Linked DNA regions of Macaca mulatta. The protein of the gene in region 1 interacts with the protein of each later gene in a pairwise test. Links are inferred from orthologs where the notes say so. Each region holds a gene or a part of one and is shown in the gene's direction. Other genes may lie near its edges.

Evidence for each region.
Region 2: the proteins of SF3A3 (region 1) and ZNF212 interact in binary tests that used the Homo sapiens proteins (3 or more experiments, as listed by UniProt). The two-hybrid records come from large-scale screens. The link is inferred for Macaca mulatta from reciprocal best matches to the Homo sapiens genes SF3A3 and ZNF212.
Region 3: the proteins of SF3A3 (region 1) and TRIM69 interact in binary tests that used the Homo sapiens proteins (3 or more experiments, as listed by UniProt). The two-hybrid records come from large-scale screens. The link is inferred for Macaca mulatta from reciprocal best matches to the Homo sapiens genes SF3A3 and TRIM69.

What each region holds. Positions count from the first base shown.
Region 1 is NC_133406.1:202,804,552-202,808,780, forward strand, and holds the start of SF3A3 (splicing factor 3A subunit 3), read left to right. Parts: upstream 1-1,332; 5' UTR 1,333-1,389; coding exon 1,390-1,485; intron 1,486-1,788; coding exon 1,789-1,836; intron 1,837-3,506; coding exon 3,507-3,559; intron 3,560-3,661; coding exon 3,662-3,767; intron 3,768-4,229. UniProt on the Homo sapiens protein: Component of the 17S U2 SnRNP complex of the spliceosome, a large ribonucleoprotein complex that removes introns from transcribed pre-mRNAs.
Region 2 is NC_133408.1:189,074,189-189,077,832, forward strand, and holds part of ZNF212 (zinc finger protein 212), read left to right. Parts: intron 1-1,170; coding exon 1,171-1,260; intron 1,261-2,016; coding exon 2,017-2,873; 3' UTR 2,874-3,644.
Region 3 is NC_133412.1:22,146,005-22,150,374, forward strand, and holds the start of TRIM69 (E3 ubiquitin-protein ligase TRIM69), read left to right. Parts: upstream 1-1,441; 5' UTR 1,442-2,683; coding exon 2,684-2,689; intron 2,690-4,370.

The sequences.
Region 1 (4,229 bases):
TAATGTTCCATTGTACTGTATAGATATACCACACTTTATCCATTTGCCAGTTAATAGACGATTGGGTTGCATCCAGTTTTTGTCTATTATGAATAATGCCGCCGTGAACATGTGAACACATGGACATGTTTGCATTTCTCTACTTACAAGTGAAGATATATAGACACAATCTTTTTTTTTTTTTTTTTAAGGCTGTATAGCATTTCACAGCTGGTCTTCCTCTGCTTGGATGCACAGTATTTTATTTTATTTTACTTTTTTTGAGACGGAGTCTGTCTCTGTCGCCCAGGCTGGAGTGCAGTGGCTTGATCTCAGCTCACTGCAATGTCTGCCTCCTGGGTTCAAGCGATTCTCCTGCCTCAGCCTCCCGAGTAGCTGTGACTACAGGCGTGTGCCACCATGACGGCTAATTTTTTGTATTTTTAGTAGAGGTGGGGTTTCACCATGTTAGACAGGATGGTCTTGATCTGACCTCGTTGGCCCGTTGGATGCACAGTATTTTATTTAACATATTCCCTGCCGATAGACAAGTCGTTTCTACACGTGAATTTCTTTCTTCCTTTTTTTTTTTTTTTTTTTTTTTTTTGAGACTGAGTCTCATTCTGTTGCCCAGGCTGGAGTGCAGTGGCACGATCTCAGCTCACTGCAATCTCTGCTTCCCAGGTTCAAGAGATTCTCCTGCCTCAGCCTCCGGAGTAGCTGAGACTACAGGTGTGTGCCACCACGCCCGGCTAATTTTTGTTTGTTTGTTTTTAGTAAAGACGGGGTTTCACCATGTTGGCCAGGCTGGTCTCGAACCCCTGACCTCAAGTGATCCGCCCGCCTCCGCTTCCCAAAGTGCTGGATTACAGGCGTGAGCTACCGCGCCCAGCCTCACATGTGAATTTCTTTAAAAACACCACCAGCAAAACCCCACTATTCCCATTTTACTAAGAAAGGTGCTGAAGTCCAGAGAAGCAGAAAATGTTCTCATAATTTACGCTGAAAGCTGCGTCCTCAAGTTCCGGTTTCCCATCTCCCAGCTGCACTCCAACTGCTCGCGCAGTCCCCACAGTGTACCTGCCCGACCAGCCGGCCCCAGCAAGCCCCAGGAAGCGGTCCGCTGAACCTCGGGCTCTTGGGTTTTCCTATGCCCCCTGGAGGTATCTGCAAACCTCTCGGCATCGCTCCACCACACCTCCGACCAGCAGGTGGCACTGTTGCCATCTCCATAACATAGACTGGCCTTCCTTGTGGTGCTCATGTTTTCCTAAGTCCCCGGGCACTTCCGGCACTCGCGGAACTTTGATGCAGCTGGATGCGCAACGTGGGGACTCAGGCGCGCCGGGCGGCAGGAGTTGCTTCCGGCCGTGTAGGTGGTCTGAATTGGGAGGCTGCGGCTAAGGGAAGATGGAGACAATACTGGAGCAGCAGCGGCGCTATCATGAGGAGAAGGAACGGCTCATGGACGTCATGGCTAAAGAGATGCTCACTAAGAAGTCCACGGTGAGTGGGGTCTGAGCAGGGGCTGCGGCAGGGGCATGGGCCTCAATCCCGTGTTTGACCTCTGAGAGCTTGCTTTGGCCCTCAGCGCCTCCCCGCACTCCGCCTCCTGCCTCCTCCGGGGCTCCCTCTCCGAGCTCCGGTCTTGGTAACCTCCTCCCGGGGTCCAGAGCCCCAGAGGCCTTTCTTCCTCAGCTGCTAAAACCTGAGCGGATAAAACCTGAGCGGGTAAGCTCCGCCCTCGGGCGGCCTTTTCTATTCCAGAACGCAAGCTAACGGCGTTTGTGTCACCGTTTGCTTTTTCAGCTCCGGGACCAGATCAATTCTGATCACCGCACTCGGGCCATGCAAGATGTGAGTGCCCAGCTGTCTGTCACTCTGGGTTGGCGAGGGCGGGAAAAGAGAGGGGAAGTGAAGTGCGGGGTCTCAGTATGAGCACTGGCTAAAGGTAACCGGATTGGCCAGTCGCGAGCTCTCTGCCTGGACAGATGTCCACAGGCTGCCGGATGTAAGGGTGCTTCCTCAGTTCTCTGAATGGGGAACTCTTACGCATTCTTCGTTAATCGGAAAGGTGCCCCCCTTTTTTTTTTCTTTTGAGACGGAGTCTCGCTCTGTTGCCCAGGCGCGGTCTCGGCTCCCTGCAACCTCCGACTCCCGGGTTCAAGCGATTCTCCTGCCTCAGCTTCCGGAGTAGTTGGGATTACAGGCGCTCGCCACCAACTAATTTTTGTATTTTTAGTAGAGACGGAGTTTCAACATTTTGGTCAGACTGGTCTCGAACTTCTGACCTCGTGATCCACCTACCTCGGCCTCCCAAAGTGCTGGGATTACAGGCTTGAGCCACTGCGCCTGGCTTACACGTGTCCGTTCTTACAGCATCCTGTATCCCTTGGATGTGCAAACAATAGTTATGAGGAGTCCATGACTCAGGTGCACAGCTACAATCCTTGCCTTAAAAAAAAAAAAAAAAAATATATATATATATATATGTATGTATGTATACCGTATATTAGTGTTTTTCTCCCAGGATACTGCTTTAAAGCATTTTGGACTACTAAACTGCATTTGTCTGGTAGTAGTTCAATTTATTACTTAAAAGAAAAACAAGATGCTATTTAAATTTTTAAACAAGGTGATGAGTAAATGGAGGTTCATTTTACTACGTTCCTTACTCTTGGGTACGTTTGAAACCTGTTTAAAAAGGAATAAAAGACTTACTTGGACCTTCTGATTTTCAGGAGATGATCAGATTACAAGCCCTCAGCCCCAAAATACTCTGAAAACCAAGGATTTTATTTTTTTCCCCTTGGGTGATTATTTGGTGTCAAAATCTGACCTGCTCTCACTTGACAGGTTTACTGGCCTGAACCTGTGATAGGCTTTTTATGGTCTTTAATTTACCCCACTTAGTAAATAAGGTATAAGGTTTACTGCAGAACTGTGTGCTCCAGATTCCACTAGGGCTGTTACATAATATGTGATACCTTTTCTGAACTTAAAAATTCCAAATTCTGAAACAAATCTGGGCCCAAAAGTTTTGGAGGAGGGGACTATGTACCTGTACCATCCCGAATTAGTATATTTTGACTACAAAGGAAGCCTATGTAATGTTTATTTAGCCTGTCTACTCCTCAGTCAAGCTTTTTGAAATAGTGAATATCATCTTTATCTTTGAGGATGTTAGGTGGGAGCTAGTGTTTAGCCAAAGAGGGTGAGTCTGTTACAGGGAAAGTTAGGCATCGGTGGTATGTAAAAATAGGAGCCACCCCTTAAATGTTATCATTTAGGTAATCTTCCAATCGACCTGCTTAAAAAACTAACCAGGAATCAGGGCTGTTAAAGGGCTATTGAAAAACTAACCAGGAAACAGGGCTATTAAAGGTACTAGGAAGCACAGAACTGTTAAGACCATGTCCGTATCTCTTGAGATTGCCCTGGGCTTTGACTGGAGAGCCCTTGTTGTTTGCTTAGCTCTACATTTGTGCAAATTGCCTCATTCTGATGGTTTTGTATTTGCCTTTCAGAGGTATATGGAGGTCAGTGGGAACCTGAGGGATTTGTATGATGATAAGGATGGGTAAGTGACAGTCACAGCTAATCTAGGAGTTAGTGCTTCTGAGGAGCCATGGTTAGAGGACTGACTTTGTGCTCTATCTTTGAAATTTTCCTGAAATTGCAGATTACGAAAGGAGGAGCTCAATGCTATTTCAGGACCCAATGAGTTTGCTGAATTCTATAATAGACTCAAGCAAATAAAGGAATTCCACCGGAAGCACCCAAATGAGGTATGTCCTCCGAAAAGTATTTTCTCCAGACCTATCTTTAAAGCATATAAAGGAAAGGTATAAAGGAAACTGGACATGTGCTATTCAAATGCACTTCAAGAAAGAACTTGCCATTTAGGTGCAAGGACCATAGTTAGCTGACATCCTACAACTGCAGTGTTTTCAGCATCTCCCTCAGCTTTGAAGCCAAGGCTGGCCGGGTGCGGTGGCTCACACCTGTAATCCCAGCACTGTGGGAGGCTGAGGTCGGCGGATCACCTGAGGTCAGGAGTTCGAGACCAGCCTGACGAACATAGTGAAACCCCATCTCTACTAAAAATGCAAAAATTAGCCAGGCATGGTGGCATGCGCCTATAATCCCAGCTACTTGGGAGGCTGAGGCAAGAGAATCACTTGAACCCGGGAGGCGGAGGTTGCAGTGAGCCGAGATTGCGCCATTGCACACCATCCTGAGGGACAAGA
Region 2 (3,644 bases), on another chromosome or scaffold:
GCTGGAGTGCAGTGGTATGATGTCGGTTCACTGCAGCCTTGACAGCTTGGGCTCAAATGATTCTCCCACCTCAGTTTTCCAAGTAGCTGGGATTACAGGCACACGCCACTGCGCCTGGCTAATTTTTAAATTTTATTTAGAGACGTGGGTCTTACTATATTGCCCAGGTTGGTCTTGAACTCTTGGGCTTAAGTGATCCACCTGCATCGGCCTCCCAAAGGGATTACAGGCGTGAGCCTCCGCATGTGGTCTCCCATGCTGTTTTTAATATTTAAGACTATTTGAGATGGGTATGGTAGCTCACATCTGTAATCCCAACACTGGGAAGCCAAGGTGGGAGGATAGCTTGAGGCTAGGAGTTTGAAACCAGCCTGGGCAACATAGTGAAATCTCTTTTGCTTAAAAGAAAAGAAAAAAGATGATTTGACAACCCTTTGTTACCTTGGATGAGGCAGGCAGCACAGGCTGACCAAAAGCATTTTCTTGGTGTTTGGCCAGAATTATAGCTGGTCATTGTGGTCTCAATGATTTTTGCTTGTTGATTAGAAGTGCTACTTAATAGGTATAAGTCTTTATATGCAAAATGTTACCTATTACATAATAAATGCTTTTTGTTTGGTAGACAAAGTCTTTTAAAACCTAGGTACATGGAGGAGTGTCAAGTGCCTGGAGCAGAGTAAGAGGTAAAGAAAATAGAAAATGGGCCAGAAAAGTGACCTTGTAAGCTTGGTTGGGTCACATGCTCTCATTGGGACTGTTTCCTTGTCTGTCCCAGTGTCCATCTTACCTTGCAGTGCCTTAGCAAGGATGAAATTAGATCCCCCAAAAGGAAGCATTGGCAAGACTTAAACTGCACACACGGAGAGGCAGAGGTGGGTGGTGGTGCCATCAGGGGCAGTGGTAGCTTTGTAACCTGCCTGCCTGAGCCACAGGCCCTCTAATGGAGGAGCACTGGAGGCAGCAGCTAGCCAAGTCAGTTGTTAGGATTGGCCAGAATTTTATAATTGTCCCAAACTGCTAGGGGAGACTGACACGAGCAGTAGCCTTTGAATCTGTTGAAGCTTTAGTATTTTCTCCCTGCCATTGGTCACCTTGGTCATTGGCAGCTGATCAGTGTGCAGTGAGCTTTTGCTCTCTCCTGGACTCACACCGTGCTGTTTCCCCACCCAGAGGTCCTTGGCCAGACAGAGGGAGAAGCGGAGTTGGGTACAGAGATGCTGGGTGACTTGGAAGAGGAAGGTCCTGGTGGTGCCCACCCAGGTGAGTGGCTCTGGAATATTCTGTTCCCTTCCATAGCCCTCTGCAGCCTAGAGTGAGCTTTCCCATGGCTGACCTGCCAGGTGCTGACTTGGTAAACTCATCTGGCTTTGCTTGTTCTGGACTCCTTTATGATTGTTGTTAGTTCAGCTGTTACATGTGCCTCAACTCCTACCATCCTATGGGGTCTTTAAGACTAACGGCCACATCAATCACTCTTCTTCATGCCCTACAGAATAGAGTACCATACTAGGCGGTAGTCAAAACCTGCCGGAGATTGAGTGTGGGCATGTCAGAGCTTCAGGAGGGAAGGCAGTGCAGGAAAAGCACTTGTCACTAGGTAATTTGGGAGGTTATGGAGGAAGAACAGAGCTGGACATGAATTTTTAAGCTGTAGGTTTAGTTTGTCTTTAATCCTTCAGATGTGTTATTTTAACACTCTTAATTTAGTATAGTTGTTACAGTGTATTCTGTCATTTTTCCCAGAGATTAAATATAAATTTGTAGACAAGCTTGGAGAACTATAGTTTACAGTATTTTATAAGAGTAATGCATTGATATTTCCAGTCAACATTGGAAAAACTATACATGAATAGTTTTATACAAGTCTTGGAACCTAGCCAGTGTCATCCTCCTCCATGTTGTCCTAATTCACTTATTTCTGGGGTGCTTCTGAAATTGACAGATGTTTGTTTGGTCCTGAAGAAACCAAAGGTACTAGAATGTGATCTTTTTTGTTGGTCTTCTTCCACTTTGCAGCAGGTGGGGTCATGATCAAACAGGAGCTACAGTATACACAGGAAGGCCCTGCGGATCTTCCTGGAGAGTTCTCATGCATTGCTGAAGAGCAGGCTTTCCTGAGCCCGGAGCAGACTGAGCTCTGGGGTGGTCAGGGCAGTTCTGTCCTCCTGGAAACAGGTCCCGGGGACTCGACTCTACAGGAGCCTGTTGGTAGTAGAGATCCTAGCAGCAGCAGAACTGTGGGCTGCCCGAAGCAGAAATCTCATAGGCAGGTACAGCTGGGCCAGGAATGTGGGCAGGGCCTGAAGCTGAAAAAGGACACTTCCCGCCCCTACGAATGTTCTGAGTGTGAGATCACCTTCCGCTATAAGCAGCAGCTGGCCACACATCTGAGCAGCCACTCGGGGTGGGAGTCTTGTACACCTGAGGAGCCAGAGGAGAGCCTTAGGCCCAGGCCACGGCTGAAACCGCAGACCAAAAAGGCCAAGCGACATCAGTGTGATGTGTGCCTGAGGAGCTTCAGCTGCAAGGTGAGCCTGGTGACCCATCAGCGTTGCCACCTGCAGGAGGGGCCCAGTGCCGGCCAACATGTCCAGGAGAGGTTCTCACCCAACAGCCTGGTTGCCCTGCCTGGCCACATCCCTTGGAGGAAAAGCCGGAGTTCCCTCATCTGTGGTTACTGTGGCAAGAGCTTCAGTCACCCATCTGACTTGGTGCGGCACCAGCGCATCCACACGGGTGAGCGGCCCTACAGCTGCACCGAGTGTGAGAAGAGCTTTGTCCAGAAGCAGCACCTCCTGCAGCACCAGAAGATCCACCAGCGGGAGCGGGGTGGGCTGGCCCTGGAGCCCGGAAGGCCCAATGGCCTGCTTTAAGGGTGCAGCCCCTCGCCCGTCTGGGGGGCGGAGGGGGGTGGCATTGGTTCCCCCAAAGAGACACTGCAGTCAGGGACTGAGTTCTTCCTGAGGGCAGTTGTTTCTGATTTGCCTTCCCTTGTCCCAGTACCAAGCCAAGCCCAAAGGCTGTCCTGAAAACCCCGTGGAAGAAGAGTCCAGGCCAGGTCTTTACCCTGCTGCCAAGTTTGCTGTTTCTTGGCACCTTCAGGTCTCTGGTTTTCTCATTCATGCCAGTGCTTGTGGGCTGGGGTCGGCGTTCTGACCCCACAGGGACTGGTGGCTGGTTCCAGGGCTCGTCCTGGCATTTCATGTCTTCCCACGGGGTTGAGTTGGGCCACAGGGGTGAGCAGCTGCCTAGAAGAGTTCTGGGAAGTGTAACCCTCCTTTTTTTCTTGTTTTGTAATCTCTTTGTTTAATAACAAGTAGAACAAATAATTTAAATGAACTGCTTAACCCTACTCTGAAGAACCTTTTTTGGAATTAGATTTTAGTTAATTTTTTAAAGAATACAGCCCAACGCTTTTTTTTTACATTTTAAGAGTTGTAGAAGTTGTTCCTCACTTGGGGACTGGACCTGCCCTCTAGGAGGGAATTGTTAATGGGGCTCTTTTAGCCCACTGACGCTTACTTAGGCCAGAGAGCAGGGGACACGGTGCTAGGTTCCCTCGTGTGGTGCTTGGTGCTCTCAAATTGTCTGAAAAGGACCAAGAGGAAAAGAGTCGGAGGGGTAGACCCTGCAGCCCCTGTTGA
Region 3 (4,370 bases), on another chromosome or scaffold:
AGGCCTTTAACCCTTTATAAGAAATAAAGTCTCCTCTCCAAATTTCTGGATGTTGTGAGTTCTAAGTTAACAAAGTAAAGAGAAGGAATTTGGGAGACTGACAACTTTGCAAACCAGAGCCACGATAGAAGTTTGAACTTTTACTTAAGAGAGAAATAAATGTCATTCTTGCTTAAGCAACTTTTATAGTGGGTATATTAGTCGGGTTGACATATAAAATTAACCATCACTCTGGGTCTCGTTTACAGTAATAGAATTTTTTTATTTTTTTTATTTTTTGAGACAAGGTCTTACTCTGTTAACCATGCTGGAGTGCAGGGGTGTGATCATGGCTTACTGCAGCCTTGACCTCCTAGGCACAAATGATCCTCCCACTTCAGCCTCCTGAGTAGCTGGGACCACAGACACTGGCTAATTTTTAAATTTTTTGTAGGGACAGGGTCTTGCCATCTTGCCCAGACTGGTCTTGAACTCCTGGGCTCAGGTGATCCTCCCACCTTGGCCTCCCAAAGTGCTGAGATTACAGGCGTGAGCCATCATGCCTGGACACTGTTTTTAAATAGTGAAAAAAAGGACTTGAAGTACTATTTGTGAAGATTGAGACCTCTTGCTACATAGGATTTGGAATCACAGGCTTCTAGAGATGGAAGAGGTCTTAGGAATTCACATTTTAAAGAAGGAGGAACTGATACCCATAGGAGTTAAATGTCTTAGCTAAGGCTACCCAGTGCTCTGGTGAGGGACAAGGTTTCCACCTTCTAGGCCAGTACTCTTACCCCTAGGCAAAAGGTTCAAGAATGTGCAGGCGCCAAGCTTTAGTAAAATCAGCTATACTAAGCATTGTCAAATGTTTTAGCCAACAGCAAAAATAATCAAGATGAAACAAAATTACTTTTTTGATTAAGTGATCACCAGCATTTCATAGACATTTATTTGACAAAGGTTTTGATCCAACAAATGCCATGTACTGTCAAGGTGAGCAAGACAGAGTACTACCTACCCTGCGGTTGTTCACAACTTAGTGGAGGGGCAGACATGCAATCAAATATTAGAATACACTCTGTTAAAGCCACATGTACAAAGATCTAGAGTGCTATAGAAATGTGTAAAGCTAGGCCAGGCATGGTGTTGCTCACACCTGTAATCCTAGCACTTTGGGAGGCTGAGGTGGGAAGACAGTTTGAGCTCAGGAATTTGAGATAAGCCTGGGCAACATAGTGAGACCCTGTCAGAAAGAAAGAAGGGGAGAAAGAGAGAGAAAGAGAGAGAGAGAAAGAGGAGACAGAGAGAAAGAAAGGAAGAAAGATAGGAAGAGAGAAAGAAAAAAGAAAAAACAAAGAAAGGAAAGAGAAAAAGAAAGAAAAAAGGAAGAAAGAAAGGAAGAGAGAAAGAAAAAAGAGAATGGGAGAGAAAGAGAAAGAAAAAAAGAAAGGAAGAAAGAGAAAAAGGAAGGAAGGAAGGAAGGAAAGAAGGAAGGAAGGAAGGAAAGCTGTGTTTCTCAACTGAGGAATGATTCCAACCCTGACCCCAGGAGACATTTGGCAATGTCTGGAGACATTTTTGTTATGACTGGAGAGGAAGGGGGTGGCTACAGGCAACTAGTGTGTAAACGCCAGGGATACGGCTAAATATCCTAAAATTCACAGGACAGCCCCTCTGACTTAAAAGACTTAACAGGCCCAAAATATCAATAGGGCTGAGGTTGCTAACCTCTGGTATAGAGCCAGCAAAATATCTTCTAGAAGAGACAGGGAAGTGGGTAAAGCTTGGTTTGGGGATGAGGGAGTGGTTAGGGAAGAGTTTAGTAAAGAGATAAAGACGGGGGTGTAGGGGAAGGGAAACTCCCAGCCGAAGGGATAACATGTACAAAGCTGCAGAAGAGTGGCAATCCCAAACATCCGGGAAAGAGCTGTGGTCATTAAGGCTGGACTGCTAGGCAGGAGCCAGACGTGTAAGAAATCATATTGAGTTAGAGGAATTACTGTAAGAAAAACTGTTTGGCTCTATGGTGGCTCTTTATAAGTCACGCAGGAGCATAGTGCTGGGACATCTCTCTGTGGGCGAAAACTGCTGAAGAAAGCTGTATGAAAGAAAGCTCATCCTGCTTTCTTAGGGCCTGGTGTTTTCCAGGCCTGTGTTACTGTCTCAGAGACAAAGTCAGGGCTGCTTCACTGGAATATGAGAGGTGAACTAGCTCTCTATTAAAGCCACTCAGCGAGTGTCTTGATGGTGTGATGGGATCACGAACAGGGGTGAGGTGGTTATTTTCATGAGTTAGGCTTAATATAGGCTGCTGCTGACGTGTATTTCCTCTTTCATAGAGCATCCCTAGTCCAGAAATGGGGAGCTATGAACCTTAAGATTAGACTACCAGTTTGAATCTAAATGAGCTGCCCTCTTCTCCTACAAAAGAAAAGTTGGGCAGGTAGGGTATTGTAATGAGGGTTTCTCTTTCTCTTAAGCAAATGATGATCAAAGCAACTGACAAACTGTCACGGAATCTGCCAGACCTCACTCTGGCCTTGCTGCTTCTCTCCAGCTCCTGAACTTTTCTTCCTTTTGTCATGCTCTGAGCCCATTCCTTGAAAACTAACAGGTCCCTGACTTCTGGTCTGCAGACATCCTGGGCCTGCTGAGCTCTGATTCAAGTGCCTGCCTCTGCCCCTTGGTAGGCTGAAGCTTCATGGAGGTGAGTGATCCTTTTTTTACTTAGCAGGGCTTCTAGGAATAGTGTGGAAAACAGGATCATAGAAGAGGATATGGATTTGGGAGCACAAAAGGAAATTAATGAAGAGAAGTATTTAACTTGTGACAGCTGGTAGCTACTATACTCTCTCCAGGCCTTGGAATAACTGATAATTTAGACTAGAGAAGCTGGTAGGAAACTAATGAAATCCATCAAAACATTTTGAGAAAAATTAAATCACATACTATACAAAATTTGCCTTCATTATCAATGTAATCATTTTGTTTTAGATTTAAAAATTATTATGTATAACTTGGATTTCTTACAATACCTTCACATTTGATTATTTTGTATTTAAGGCAGAGTCGATACTCAGATAGTAAACATTTTTAATTGAATTCCTTCCTTTAAGACCTCTTCAGAGCTAAAACAAAGGAAGTTATATTCTTCTCAACTTAGTGTTTTCCTGATTGTTAGACAGACAAAAGAAAATGCTTATTTACTACATGAAAGCTTGAAAAACTCACTAAAATTCATCGACAAGAGATGTTGACACAGGGGCCCTTGAATCCTGAGTTATTATCCATTTCCACCAGTTTCCACTTCTTATAAAGTTTAATTTCATTATATTAATCATTAAGATCAGTTTCTAATTTCCTCTATCATAGGACCTTTAGGTTTGCTGTTACTCATCTCTGTCCTCAGCTATTGAAGCAAACAGGGCGATAAGCATTTTGTTTATAATTTCTAGGGGAAAAATAAACACTATTGCCTATACCTACTATATTCTTATTACTTTAAGGCCAAGTCAGTGAAAATAGACACTTTTCCATAATAGTAAAAAAAACCTGTTTGTGTGATAGTGAGCTTCCCATTACTTCAGACGTTCAGGCAGAGGTTGGAAAGGAGTGAATTAAATGGCTTAAAATTTCTTTCAACTCTGAGAAGCTCCGAGAAGTCGGAAAGTTCAGAATCTTTCCTTCTGATGTGAAAATGGCATGACTTGTGAAGCAGGAGTGTGTCTTGCTCTTAGGTTTGGGCTGGCTGTGCCATATCGTTTGTCTCTGTGGAGGAATTGTATTTTTTTGCTCTCAAAGTTAATTATTCATAAAATCTGCCCATCAAAGTTTAAAAATTACTTTGAAGGAATAAAGGTTGAAAAGCAAATGAACTCTCCTTAGATATCTTAACCATGATTTCAAAAGTTTACAACACAAAACTTCTCAGGAAAAAAATGTCTCTGGTAGAAATTAAGGATTTCTTATGCAAGCTTCCAAAGACTTCATAGCTCTAATCTTTGCCTTTTCTCTGCTCTTTGAGAATATACACAGTGAACCAAAGGAGGAAGAGATGTTCTTTCTTTGTTTTTTTTTTTAAAGACAGAGTCTCACTCTGTTGCCCAGGCTAGAGTGCAGTGGCACCATCTCAACTCACTGCAACCTCCGCCTCCAGGGTTCAAGTGATTCTCATGCCTCAGCCTCCCGAATAGCTGGGACTACAGGGGTACACCACCACTCCTGGCTAATTTTTTTTTTTTTTTTTTTTTTTTAGTAGCGATAGGGTCTCACCATGTTACCCAGGCTTGTCTTGAACTCCTGACCTCAGGTGATCCTCCTGCCTCGGCCTCCCACAGTGCTAAGATTACAGGCCTGGGCCATTGCGCCCTGCTGATGTGCTTTCTTAT